Astyanax mexicanus: one gene and its partner. The protein of the gene in region 2 purifies or fractionates together with the protein of the main gene of each other region. This does not show direct contact. Links are inferred from orthologs where the notes say so. Each region holds a gene or a part of one and is shown on either strand. Other genes may lie near its edges.

Region 1 (7,702 bases), on a different chromosome or scaffold from region 2:
AAGATATATGTACATAAAAAATATAAGCTAACAACTGCCAGACTGATCCATCTCTAATCCTTATGTAGTATTTATATTTCCTTTCCTTCAGTGCACAACAGTTATGCTTTATATTGATATTGGCCTTCGTCATACTGATACTGCAGAAAGGCTGTAATAAAAACAAGCCCTTCCACTAAACAATAAACGAATCAGTAGTATTACTGATTATGTGGCTATTATAATTACTATTATCAATCTTTATTACTTCTTTATTGCTATAACTACTATTACTATGCATTTCAATGATTATTTCAGTACAACACCAGTAAGTGGTGTTAAGACTACGTTATACCATTATTAATTATTGTATAAGTGGCTTGGACCAAAAAAAAAAGGATAGAACCCCTTATGAGTCTTAGACCATCCCAGAGTAGTTAAGTTCCTTTAGCTTTGAATGAGTGTTATATCCAACATCAGTTAACAAAATGTGTGATACAAATAAATTTGACCTGACTAGAGATTAAACAAGCTTGGTGAGATTCATTGTTAATATGATGTTAGTAATATGCTTAACTTAAAGCAGCAGTCCTTACATATTGAGCTAGGAGTGGGCAATATTATATCGTATACAATATATCGTGACACAGAAATATCATGATATTAAAAATCCATATTGTGATAATAGGGCTGTTCTGTCTTAAAAGTATTCTATTATTTACTGTGAAACTTTAATGTCTTAATTGTATAATTGTTTTAGTTTGCAGTTTATATGCATGCACTAAATATTCTGCAATATTATTTGCTGCATTATATTATTTTATGCTATATTATTTATTTTGCCACATTATGATTATTCTGTTAAACTATTATACTATATTCCTGAAATGAATGAATTGTTTTAGTTTTCCTATATCGCCAAGTATATCGTTATCGCAAAAATACCCTGAAATATCGTGATATTATTTTAGAGCCATATCGCCCACCCCTATATTAAGCTTTAAGATTTATGGTATCAGTGTGCTGTTTTAACGAACCCTGTAATCTCTAATATATTATTAATCTAAAAACAGAGTGGTCTGGTAGGTTTTGGAAGGATTTGTGTATACTTATGTCACACATACAGCTTTTAAAGAAGATCCAGTATAATTTGCTGGTTACTTTTGCTGCAATTACACTTTCTCAATCCCCACATGCCCAAAACCTACAGACTGTTACTTTAAATTTCATTCATATTGATTAGACCTGATGAAACTGATCAGTGTTAAGTCTTTATGATAGGAGATACTTTAAGAGGCCTTAGACTAATGCTTCTTTGTGCAAGTGCCTCTCAAACCAGTCCTCATAATTTCCATGTTTGCTCAGTTCATGACATACATATATATAGACAGAGCAAAACTGTGGACCATCTGGATGGACCTGAGGACAAGTCTGAGTTGCCTGAACCCAAAACAAACATCTGATTTGAATCATTGCTTATGTACAATCTATCTACAATACCTTCAGAAAAACCTTCCTGTTCAGAGTAAAAAAACTACTAGTGCACCCTCTTCAACCTGCACCAACAACCCCACACCAGACCCTGTGCCGTGCCAACACACCTTTCTTGAACTCCTCCAACATGGAGTCCAACTTGGTGTCATGGAAAACAAAGTGGACCGGATGGTTGTAGAACTTGGTGATGGTCTTGAGGGTGGTGCAGTCGTCAGGATCCACGAAGGCCAGGTCTTTCACAAACAGGACATCCACAATGTTAGTCCTGTCATCCTCGAAGACGGGGATGCGAGTGTACCCGCTCTCCATGATCTCGGACATGGTGTTGAAGTCCAGCACAGCATCACTGTGGATCATGAAGCAGTTGCTGAGAGGGGTCATGACATCCTCTACTGTCTTAGTCCTGAGCTCCAGGGCTCCCTGGATCATGTTGAGCTCCTCTTTCACCAAATCATTGTACGGCTCGGTCACCTTCAGCATCTCCACCAGCTTCTCACGGTTGTAGACGGTGCCCATCTCCTGGCCCAGGACGCAGTCCAGCAGCTTGCTGACTGGGTAGGACATGGGGAAGGTCAACAGCATGAAGAACTTAGTGAGCAGGATGGTGTTGGCACCCACCGCCAAGCCGTGGCGAGAGCAGAGGGCTTGGGGCACAATCTCGCCGAAGATGACGATGCCAATGGTGGAGGCCACCACCGCGCCCACACCTGAGCCTATGAGGTCATCCAGGAGGATGGTGAGGGTGGTATTGACCAGGACGTTGCCTAGAAGGAGGGAGCAGAGCAGGTAGTTCCCTTCCCTGCGGATGGGCTCGATCTTGCGGGCATACTTTTTCTCCTTGTCGGTGCCACAGCTCTGCACAATGCGCAGCTCCATTGGGTCCAGTGCCATCAGGCCCAGGTTCAAGCCACTGAACATACCTGACAGCACCAGCAGGCCACAGATCAGAATCACCTGGAGCCACAGAGGCAGCAGTGACTTCTTCTCCTCCACCACACGCAGCTTGCCATCCTGCTCGCCCAGCAGATGCCACCTACCATCCCTCTGGCTCCTCGTGCACATGCCATAGTCCCTCTGCTTCTCGCTTTTACGCAGCAGCTTCACTTTTACGCGCAGCACCGCAGAGGTGCCCAGCTTACTCACGTTCATGCTGCCCCGCACGGTGATGTCTTTGGTGACATCGTCGCAGGTGCCGTTCAGCGCATCCTCACCTCCTCCACCTCCACCTCCACCTGCACCACCTCCACCTGCGTCCCCGCCCAGATCCACGAACCTCACCTGCGCCCGGGTGTCGTTGCTCAGGTGCAGCCCGTAGAAGCGAAGGGACACGCTGCTCTCCTCGGTCACCTGGATCACGCCGTCCTCGGTGGTCGTGAACGGCTTGTCGCTGCCCTCCAGCCGCACGCCCAGGATGCGGGGCTCTCCGCCCGCGTCCCCGGATCCCCCCGCGCCCGCTCCCCTCTCCGCTGCGCCCGCGCAGACCCCGCAAACCGCCAACACCACCATAGCCAGCGCGCTCCCCTTCCCGCACCATCCTGTCGCCATGTTTGTTGTCCACACGCGCACTGACACACGCGTGCGCACGCTCGCTCGCTCCCTCCTCGCTCTAGCTGCTAGGCGGGGGGCTGACGTCACCTCTACTCATTCCTCTGCACTGAACGACTCGCCCCTACATTAGCATGCAGCCAATAAGAGCAAGGGACACGCCTAGTTCATTTTAATACAGCCAATGAGAAACTGAGGTGGGATTCTCATGGCCGAACACGAATCAGATTGCGATTTCGAGAGACGGCCCCTGCCTCCAGCTTTTGAAGAAAGTTTTTTAAGGGCGACTGGGAGTAATTATTTTTGTTTTAAGGTGGACTGGAACAGATACTTTTGTCTACCGCTCATTTAGCGTTTATTTATTGCAGAAACTTTATAACATTCGCACTAATTATGGTATTTATGGTTATCTTATGTAGTTCAAATACGTGTTTTTTAGGTATGTAATATATAAAGATATTTAAATATTTATAAATACGTTAATATTTAATTAATATAAACTTTAACTGCAAATTCAGATACTCATCCATATTCAACTCGGCAATTTTAAACATGAATTTTCAATGTTCAATATTAATATTGCATATACAGCTCTGGAAAAAAAATAAGAGACCACTTTAAAATTATGTGTTTCTTTGATTTGACCAAATTGAAAACTCCTGGAATATAATCAAGAGGAAGATGGATGATCACGAGTCATCAAACCAAACTGAACTGCTTGAATTTTTGCACCAGGAGTCGCATAAAGTCATCCAAAAGCAGTGTGTAAGACTGGTGGAGGAGAACATGATGCCAAGATGCATGAAAACTGTGATTAAAAATCAGCGTTATTCCACCAAATATTGATTTCTGAACTTTTAAAACTTTATGAGTATAAACTTGTTTTCTTTGCATTAATTGAGGTCTGAAAGCTCTGCATTTTGTTGTTGTTATTTCAACCATTTCTCATTTGAAAAAAGATGTTGCATATTCATTATAACAGACAGCTCTTCATTTTTACTACACACCACATTAATTTAATAGTATTGGTGCCCTCTAGTGGTGCAGGGAGAGCTTTTCCATTGTAAACCTATACTAAAGACATGCAGACTATGAGAGGAGCCGCTCGCTGCAGCCTGTAGGAAGGCGGAGTTGGACATCCAACCCCGCCCACATCCAACTCCGCCCATGTCCAACTCCGCCTTACGTCTAAAGCAACACCCACCTTACGTCCGTCACGAACGCCTACATTTACTCCCGGTAAACAGGAATTGTAGCCGAGAAAGCAGCTAAAGCATCTATCTGATTTATATCTCCGGTTATGGCGATAAGTACAAATATTGAGTTATTTTTTAAGTTAACAGAGCTATTTTTATAATGTCCTCTTGTTTTTCTATATTATATTTTATGAATAAACGGTGAGTCGTTGATACGCACATGAAGGTTCTACATCGGCGCGTGTACCATGTGGTTTGTTTGCTTCTAGCTAGTCATATTGCCGTTTTTTTTTGATGGATTCTAATGCAGAATTGCACCCAGTCTTGTCTAATTCAAACTTTAGTTATCTTACCTTCTGTTTTATGGGCTAAAATGCTACCAATTAATGGTATCACAGATAAACTCTCATAGCTAGTAGTGAGCTAGGCATCAGTTTTGTTTTTAAGGCATAGCTAGGGGTTATAGTCAGCTAACCTAAAAAACTGTTTAAACTGTCTATACAAGAAGTTAATTGGCTAACAAGATAGCAAGATAATCTAACTAACTCAAATTGGTTCAAAGTCTTAGTCATACAAATAAATATTTGAAGATATCAATGCTTAATCCTCCTATTTAATTTGTCAGGAATAGCAATGGTATTCCCGGGTTAATTTGACCTGGTTCATTTTTAATTATCCAAAATATTTCTGAAACCAAAATAATCCTAACCAGAAGAGTAAATATTTAATAACTAACTCCATTGCTGATTGTTGTATCAACATTTAGTACAATAGTGTACAATAGAGGTAATAGTTCAATTAGGATAATTCACTTGTTTTTACATTTTAAAAAATCTTACTTTTTTTTTGTTTTACTACTTTGTTACTTTTAAACAACCAACACAATATTTTTACATATAAATGAAACATAACATTACAATTTCGTTTTAGTTTTAGTTTTTGCAGGGGGTTGTTGCAAATATGAAATTAACCATTTTCATGTTATATGTTAATTATACAAATAAAGGCAAGCTGAAGACGTTTCATACAGAAAAAATACTTTTACTATCTTACTAAATGGATCAATTTGACCCGTAACGTAACAGGAGGGTTAAGTCGATGCACATTTATTACCTTTGTACTGAATGTAGTTACAATTAATGTGCACCGATATAGTAATTGTAAGCTCATGTTGTGTTTTGTTGCTTTCTGTTTTACAGCATCCAACACATGTCCAGGCCACTCCTGACCCTTCACGGTTTGGCCAGTGTGGTGTTTTCAAATGCCCCTGCTTCAGTTTTGACACTGACCAGCGATTTAATAACAGCCTACATCTACAAAACCATATCAAACAAGCAGTCGAGAATAACGGTATGGGGAAGTATTTCTTTAAACAGAGAGAGAGATATTGATTTTATTGGCTATAACAAATAAACATGTAAATGTAATATCTTGAATCAACAAATGCACTTACATCTTACACTCAATTGATGGGCATAATGAGTTGAAGAATATTAATATTTATAGGCTTAATTGCATGTTGTGTGCATTTTGGTCTTACAGTTTCCTTCATCTCTAAACTGCACACCTACAGCACACTTTTGTGTCTATTGCAGCCATACAATACTATGCAAAGACCAGTTCAGACATCATGTATCTCTGTGCAGCAGTGCAACCAAGACCATTATAGCAGAAGTGTTTAATCCACAGACTGTTGCTACTTCTGATGCACGTCCAGCTCCCCCTCTGCCAGCTACTCCTGATACACCTTCTCCCAGTTCTGGTCTTGCTTCCTCTGTGCATGGTATTAATTATATTAATTATTATATTTTCTCTCAGGAAAGTTCAGCGTGTTGAACGTGTGACTGATGAAGGAGATAGAATGGGCAACGTCTCCTTTGAACAGGTGTAAGGGTGTGGATGTGTGTTTTTTATTTCGGGTTAATTTAACTGGGCCATTTAAAATGTTTTACTGTTGTGGTTTGTTTTCAAAAGTCTGAATTGGGCTGAAAAGATAAGTTGACATTATTTGAAATTTCAACTTGACCTAGTGTTGACTAGTCATTTCAAGGGCATTTGAAGCCCATAAGCTATTGGAGAGCTATCATTTTAAAGGGATAGAAAAGCAGAGAGCTGTTTTGTTACGTTAAGGCAGAGATTAGTCAACAGAATGACGCTGACTACAGTCTTCAGGCAAAAATGCTAGCCATTCCTACAGTAATCAGAGATTGGGGATATGATTGAAATAATAAGTGCCAACTCAGATTAATAGAATACCAAAATAGTAATTGGTTGCAGCCTTAGAATGTTATCTGGTCATTTTTTTCAATTACTATAATTTTCATGAATCAAAATCTACATGCTTCTATAATGTTTTTCACAGATGCCCCTTATTCTCATAGATACAGTTCTGGAAGAGGGTGACAAAGCTTTTTTAAAGCTGTCACTGGTTTGTCGTCTCTTCCGGGACATTGTTTGGACAACAATCATTCCGGGCCCGGGCACATTTCGAGTGGCTTGACAGTAAGCATGATATTTCAGTACAGTTAAGATGTTTGTTTTCCCTTAGAAAAGGAATTACACTCATTGATTTTGAAATCATTTTAAAATTCTTGATTTTTTTAAACCTACAGGTGTAGTGCCATGAAAACATCACAGTGCTGCATGTAAAGACGAGTTTCGCAGGATGTACGAACTGCAGTGCTGCCAGAACTGTCAAGAAACTTATAAAGACTACATACTGGGTATGTTTGTTCTAAATAAATTTTGATAATTTTTTCCTGAGGTCAGAAATTGGTAAGTCAATATATTTAAGGTATTGGGGCTTGAGAGATTGTTACTTTGTGAAAGTGTGTGCTTTTACTTATATTACAGGCTACGTTGGGCATGGGAGACGAGGGGAGCTTGTGGCATTTTACAGCGAAAACGAGCACCCTGGATTCTGCAGCCAGCTTCATGAGTGGCTGGGTGTGTGAGTGGCTGGGTGTGTGAGTGGCTGGGTGTGTGAGTGGCTGGGTGTGTGAGTGGCTGGGTGTGTGAGTGGCTGGGTGTTGCATTTTTAAATAAAGACTTCTGTATTTGTTTGACCAAAGCATGTAACCAAACATTTTAAAGGCTAGTGTGCCAATAAATGCCAATAAAGATATTGTATTAGCTTGGACAAAGTGTTTGTAAATGGAGTTAATTTCCCTGGGAACTACTGTCAGCCATACAAAAATTGGGAGAGGAGAAGCAGGAGAGGGATATCATTATTATTATTATTATTATTATTATTATTATTATTATTATTATTATTATTGACAAAATAGCTATGCATACATATGATATTTTAATTTCTGAATCCACAGCATTTGATATATTGTACTCTATCGTTATACACTATCCAGCATACCATTATTACCACCTGCTTGTTTCTGCTTCTATTATTCTTTTTTTTAGCTCCAATTAGCATCTAGGACACTTTAGTTGCATAATGGTTTACTGGTGTATAATATACAATAGGTATAAAA
Region 2 (7,364 bases):
AAACAATAGGGCTGCAATAATTAGTTAACATAATCCACAATGTTGATCATATAAAATTGCTAGTGGGAGACGGGAATTTGCCGCACTCACAAAGTTTACACTCAACTTGGTCTGTCTCTCCAAAAGTGCCCAAACACAACAGAAAACATATTTACTTACTAAATATCAGTACTTTACACATTTAAAGTAGAGATTCACAATGATATCGGAATTATAACGGTATAAAACAGTAGTTGCTGTTTGATAAGCGATAAAAGAAAAGGACCAAGCGACACTGACCGCACTTATATGAATGGCAGCTACTATCTGTGCTACTTTAATTCATAAGAGCCGAGACCCATTTCTAAATATTGATACCAAAATCTAATTCAGAGAGCAGCTCATGTTTTTTTCTTACTGTGAAAAAATGACTGTAAATATTTGAGGGTTATAGTCTATATAGATGTAACAAGTGAATATAATTTCATAATCTGGATTTTAACGTTTTGTTCTAGAAATCATGCCACAACCAATTATATGGAATGGAATGCAATGTACATTTAGTTAAATCGTTGATTGGAAAAGAGCTGTAGAAAAATATAATTTTTAAAGAAGATACTTTTATCTCACGTATCTTACGTACATCCTGCTAATAAGGTCAAATAAATGAACAAACATTCATATACTGTCCTTTGACAAAGTCAGGTCATACAGTATGTCACTTGAGGACTTCATGATTTAAAGTCAAGGACAAAGGAACAAACTTTTCACAACTTTTAAAGTTATGTCACCATAGGCACTTTTGCGTTAAAGGTAATTTTTTATTATTTTTATTAGATTATTTAAATTTATTGTTAAAAAATATTGTTTAAAGCTGTGATTGGTTAATGTAAGATGTTAGCTGAATAAACATTTAATGGCAAAATATATATACACACACACATATATATATATTATATTTATAACTTACACATTTATAGACTACACACCCTGGTTCAGAAATTCAGAAACAAATGTAACATTTGCTTTATATTTTACCTCTCAAGGAACTGTATGCAAACAATAAAATGAGCGGTGTCTCCTGAGATATATATATATATATATATATATATATATATATATATATATATATATATATACACACACACACACACATATACATATATATATATATATATATATATATATATATATATATATATATATATATATAAAATCTAATCTATCTAATCTAAAAAAATTATAATCATGTTAGTTGCCTACTGAAATAATCAGTAGTTGCAGCCATAGATAATAAGTACAGTGGTAGTAGCACAGGTACATCATTATGCTGGTATCCCTGCTGATGCCCATCACAGAGACTCTGCAGTGGAGCAGAGCTTTATTTTATACTCATAAAACAATGTAACACAACCCAAGGTTGATTTATTTACATTTAAAGAGAGAAGGTTAACCCTACTGACTGAAACTTGACTGATTTTATTTGGATTTTACTTTCCTTATTATTTATAAGGAGATGCTGGGCTAGCTGAAGAGTTTCTGTATTTCACTAAACTAACTAGCTTATGGGCAGAGACAATAAACTAGCTTATTAACCTACCTGTGAGCTAAGATACCTAACTACTAGATTAGCTAACGTTAATTGAATTAGACAGAGACCAGAGCTCAGTTTAGCTAAGCTTCCCCACAAAGAAAGCGGCGCACACATATAGAAGCCGTGAAAAGAATGTGCTAGCCTAGCCAACCAGGTGTTCTGTCGAGTTGTGCTCCTCGTCAAATCGTGCTTCCCCAGTGTGTTTTAAAGGTAAAATTGGCAACGAAAAAAGAAGCACGCTCCCAACAGACATCTTGATAACATATTTAAGGACTTTGATGAGTTAGAATCGTGGATAGAGTGCTGTACGCAACTTTCCACATTTTTTCACATCTTTTAAATGGTCTGTGACACGTAACTACATCACCATAAGCTTTTTTGTTGGCTCGTAAGAAAAATTTAAGGCGCATGCGCAGTACTGTTAAGACGCACATATTGATGTGTAACACAATTCAACATAACACCGGCTGTGCAACTACGACCCACCTAACGCTAGCTAAATATGTTATATATGCGGCAAATGGCTAGGCTAAGTTAGAATGATATGCTAGTTAGCTTTAGCTTGAAATAGCTAGCTAGCTAACAACCTGTCGGGCCTCCTGCTGTTGTTATCCTAGTTAGCTAGCTAACGTTAACTAATCTTCTTAAAATACTTTATTTAGTATTTTATAAGAAATCTTTATTTATTAATATTTATTTTCGATTTTTTGTAAACCAGAATAAATTAATGGTATCCACAGAATAACGACGAAACCCGTCGTTTTAAGGTTAGCTAACGCTAGCTAGCTAACTTGCTTGCTGGCTAAAGCACAAAGCTCGCTTGACTGTTAAGTTAACTGTTAAATTAATTAAACTACAATTCCATGGTTTTAAAAAAGAACATATAGACTCATTAACTAATAAAAATTAGGTCACTGTGATTTAGAAGGACGTATCCAGCTATAATCCAGGTTAAAACAGATTATGAAGGACTAATGTCTATTTTAAAGATGGGAATTTTAATCCAGAAAGTACCACACGTAAAAATCCGCACCGGGATTTTGTTCCAACCGTCAGGGCGGCTCTGCTGCAGAACAGCTGCAGCATTGCCGCACTGGCGGCTGTAACAAAATCCAGGACTGGATTAATAAACTTTAGGATCCAGACTACCCGCCTCTACATCCAGCGCTACCAGGCTAAAACAATGACCTCGATTCGACAACAATCTCGCCAAACCCCATAAAGACAATCTTAAAACAGAGCCACGCGCGTATAAAACAAAAGCCCCGCTTTAAATATGAGATTTGTGTACTTACTGGAATATGTTTACTCATTGAAGATTGTAGTTTAACCATAAAGCCGGTCCCGAGAAAGCGGTGAAATCTCTGAATTGTTTTTTACCATACAGCCGCAGCGCGCGCCCTGTCTCATCCGCGACTCCGTCTCTGCCTCAACCGGTTCCAGCCTGCCTGCCTGGCGCGCGCTCGCTCGCTCGCTCGCTCTCCACACAGTAACCGCGCCCTGGATCATCAGCAGGAGGAGGAGGGGGGACGGGTCTCTCAGAACCGGGTCAGCCCGCCGCTGCTGTTGTTCTCTCCCTCCCCGCGCGGTGATGCCATATCAGACCAGGTCGGTGTAACGTTTAGCAGTTTAATTTTCTGACTGTATCAAAGCTAAATTTCAAATGAAGAAGAAATGGGTTTTGGTCAGTGTAACTTTAATTAATTACATTTTCTGACTGTTTGAGGTTAAATTCAAAAATAGAACACTGGATGTAAAAACTTATGATTTCCTTTTTTAAAGTAGTGCAATGTACAAGAAATAAGTTTTCTTCCTTTTTATTTTTTTATCTTGCATTTTGCAAGTTGGATTATACCATCAGATTTGTGTAACGAGATACAAAAATGGACAAATAAAAAAAAGAGAGAACATTCAACTCTTCAGTTTTCTTTAAATTCTGTTTGTGAAAGGCTGAAATTAAATACTCGACAATTAAAAAAATTATGAAAACACATTTGTTCTTCATTTCAAATTTAGCTTGATACAGTCAAAAATTAAACTACAAAACGTTACACTGACTGGTTTTCATCCAGTTTTTTAATTATCAAGTTTTTCATTTCAGCCTTTCGCAAACAAAAATGAAAAGTTGAATGATCTCTCAATTTTCAGATTTGTCCACTTTTTTGTTTGTTTTTTTTGCCGCTGTAATTTTTAAACGTAGCTAAAAAAAACACACCCCGCCACCCCTGAATTTTCACCCACAACCGGATTTTCAAACAAGCCCAATTTGGAGGGAAAACCGTGAACTCTGCAGACATCTCAAGTTGCGAAAATAAATTTCAGGGAGATACCCCCGGACTTAGCTTAAAAATCGCTATTACAAACTGTACAGTGGGCAAGACTTTCATTGTTTTTTACTTTTACCAGACATGGATATACTTTAGAGTAGTCAGAGGTGAAATGAGTTTAGATGGGAGCCATGATGCTCCTTCTTTTACTCACTAAGTGCATCCCGTCCAGAAGGGGAAAGAAACACAGCCCACTCACAATAAATATTAATGGGCTGACTCACAGACTCTTTGTAGAGAACAGGCCAGTCAGAACCCTCTCTGTTTTGCATGCACTTTATGAATATGTAGATGAGGGCAGCACCTTACTCTCCTGCTCTCTTTCTTTCCCACACTCGAGTCTATGGCAGGGCACGATTTCTGCAAAGCAACGGATGCAACACTCCTGTGAACAGTTCTGCATTACGTTCATTGGTTACACAAGTCTCCTGAAGACTGCCTGTGTACCGTGTATTCCTGCATGCGTTTACACAAACCTTTAATGGCTAATTCTGAATGAGACTGACACTGGTAAGAATAGAGCTGGTGAGATCTCTTTATGTGAGAGTAATTTGGCGCCAAAAACTTTATGAACATGTTTTGTACTGCCCATAGACCTATTATAACTTAATATATAATATTAATATATAATATAATAATATTTCCCCTTCAAACTTTGAGCATATGAGCATTCAGCATTTAAACTTTGGGTGAGTAATGGTTTAAAGCAGATGAAGTGTTTAAGGAAGGCATATTTATGTTTTTTTAAGCAATAAGGGTGAGAGCATGACATGCCTCGATCACTCTTCATGGTTTTGCTAGATGGAATTTTGCCTCTTTTCATCACTCCCACATAAAATATAGTGATTTATTAAATTAAAGTCTCTGAAAATATTTTTTTTACACATAAGCTGCATTTACAATATGGGAATATTATGCATATGAAGCCTGTATTATAGATAATGGAGAATATTTGTGGTGAATATTGTTTTTTTCTTCTCTTTGTTTTAAAAAACATCTTTCTAGAAATTGGTCGGGCTGTGTTTAGAGGTCTGTGTAAAAAAGCTGATCTCAGCATAGTTTTCAATGGTGCTATCCTGTACAATAGACCAGTGAACAGCCTGGGCCGCTCTCAGCATCAGCCAATCAGAGGAGGAGTGTGTTTCAGTCACAGGTTGTTAGTTGTGTAAACCATTTTACTGTGGGTGCACTGGGAGGAACTGGGGGTGGGGGGGCAGAGGGAATGTTCCAAATGGTCAGCATTGTACCGGCGGCCTATAAATGATGTGCTTGGCCATAGCTCTTGTTTCAACTTGGAGCTCACAAAATCTGAAACCACCGGCTCAAAGAAACTGGAGACACGATGCAAAAATCAGATGGACCGAAAGAGAAAGTACAGTCTTCAGATTTCTCTACAAAAATATCAAATGTATAACATATATATTTTGAGTGTTTGTAATCCATTATGTATAAAAAAGGGGAATGTCATCTTGGTGCGACTCTCAGAATTGGATTTGCTCGTTTATAACTATGAATATTTTTTGTTTATGTTTATATATAGGAAATGGCATCTACAGATTCAGACCAAGTGGACGGAGGGAACATGAGCCACAGCAGTAAGAAGGGGGTAAAGGTTAGCGGTAAACATGTAGCTTCTTCAGACTGGGACAGAAGGGGGACTCCTGTGCCCATCGTCCAGACAAATTTTTACACTCCAAGTCCTGCTGAAAACCCCACAGTCATTTCTATTGGCCCACACTGTCAGCCCACTGTCACCAGCGAGCCCCAGAACCAGGATTTCACCAGTAATGATGACTGGGGTGGAGAAGACCTCCGGGGACATCCACCCTTCACAGAACAAGGTGTATCTAGACAGACAGTGGAAGAACTGAAGAATATATTACGTGAGAGCTCCATGCTGAGGGACGACGGCCGCCCGGTCAGTCCCCACAGCCACACGCCTGGACAGAGGGTGGACTGCAGACCAGACGACATACCATCCAAGTCCTTTACAACCTTCAAACCAATTCTTGCAGGGAGCAGAAGAGCCTCGAGACCAAGAGATGGTGCTTCTTCTGGCTGGGATTCTAGTGGGTCATCCAGGACCGACGGTCATACAAGCAGGACAACTGGTTACAGGACACCCTCCAGTGATAGAGCCCACTCCTCCGACACGTGGTCATCACAGACAGGTGAGTGTGCCTCTACTGTTCCTCTACTGATGGAGAAATCTGAAAGATTTTGGTGTCCCTCTTATTTATTTTTAATGATGTTTATTTTTATGCGTTCTACAGATAACAGGGACAGTTCTCATACAGAATCTCACGGATCTCAGAATTTCCTTTACGAGCTTGATCTGATTAAGCAGCAGATTTCTCGAGAGAATGTTGGCTTTGTTCGCTTTGAAGCAACAGATCTTCACGGTGTGTCCAGATCCAAGATGGTCCCCGCTCGCTACTTTCATGTAAATATCTCCTGCTTAATTGCTAAATGTAGGGTGACTGAATCAAATGTGCATTAATGAAAGAAACTTATGCTTAGATTTATTTTTGAAATATTTATGATATACAGTGCTATGAGTATTTGCTACGTTAACGTCAGTGTTAATGATTCAATAATAAAAAAGAGAGACTGCAAAAATGGTATCCGTGGAAAAGTTCCAAGGCAAAAACCACTGCTGACCAAAAAAAAAAACATGAAGGCCCATCTCAAATCTTGATGATCCCCAGGACTTATACTGTGAATTTTCGACAAAAAAGTGGAACTTCTTGGAAGGTATTTCCCCTGTTACATCTGGTGTAAAATTATCACATAATTTAGGGAAAAGATCTTTATAATGAAGGTCAAACATGGTGGTGGTAGCATGATGGTCTAGGGCTTCTTTGCTGCTACACAACCTGGATTTGCTGTAATTGAACCATATTTTCTGCTCTTTACCAAAAGTTCAGTCATACCTGCAAGTCCACCTCTAAATGGCTCAAAAAACCTAAGTGAAGGTTTTGGTTGTCAAAGTCTGATTGAGAAGCTGTGGCAGGATCTTAAACAGGCCTTTCTTGCGCAAAACCCCCCAATGTGGCTGAATGAAAACAATTCTGCAAAGAAGAGTGGGCTAAAAAGACTTATTGCCAGTTATTTAAAACGCTTGATTACAGTTGTTTCAGCCAAGGGTGGCTCAACCAATTTATTAGGTTTTGGGGCAAATCATTTTCCACACAGGGCCAGGTTGGTTAAATAGAATTGAATAGAATTCTTCGTAAATTCAATTATCATTTAAAAACTGCTTTTTATATATACTCAGGTTATCTTTGTCTAATAATAAATGTATTTGTTAATCTGAAAAATATAAGTATGATAAAAATCTAAAAAGAAATCTGTAGGGTGCAAATAATTTTTCACAGCACTGTAAATAACTTCACAACTTTAGGATGCTTTTGCATGTTGATAATTCTGTTATTTGTATTACAGGAAAAAGCTGTGTATGGTGT

The links. The genes of interacting proteins can lie anywhere in the genome.
Region 1: the proteins of ptp4a1 (region 2) and metal transporter CNNM4 purify together in Homo sapiens (affinity purification with mass spectrometry; 6 studies listed by BioGRID and IntAct, with this or other methods). This does not show direct contact. The link is inferred for Astyanax mexicanus from reciprocal best matches to the Homo sapiens genes PTP4A1 and CNNM4.

Annotation. Positions count from the first base shown.
Region 1 is NC_064429.1:30,753,357-30,761,058, forward strand, and holds the start of metal transporter CNNM4, read right to left. Parts: upstream 3,058-7,702; 5' UTR 3,019-3,057; coding exon 1,581-3,018; intron 1-1,580. UniProt on the Homo sapiens protein: Probable metal transporter. The interaction with the metal ion chaperone COX11 suggests that it may play a role in sensory neuron functions. May play a role in biomineralization and retinal function.
Region 2 is NC_064423.1:12,467,201-12,474,564, forward strand, and holds the start of ptp4a1 (protein tyrosine phosphatase type IVA 1), read right to left. Parts: upstream 3,042-7,364; 5' UTR 2,869-3,041; intron 1-2,868. Other genes in the region: lgsn (lengsin), read left to right, coding at 5,243-5,272, 5,441-6,071, 6,174-6,343, 7,345-7,364. UniProt on the Homo sapiens protein: Protein tyrosine phosphatase which stimulates progression from G1 into S phase during mitosis. May play a role in the development and maintenance of differentiating epithelial tissues.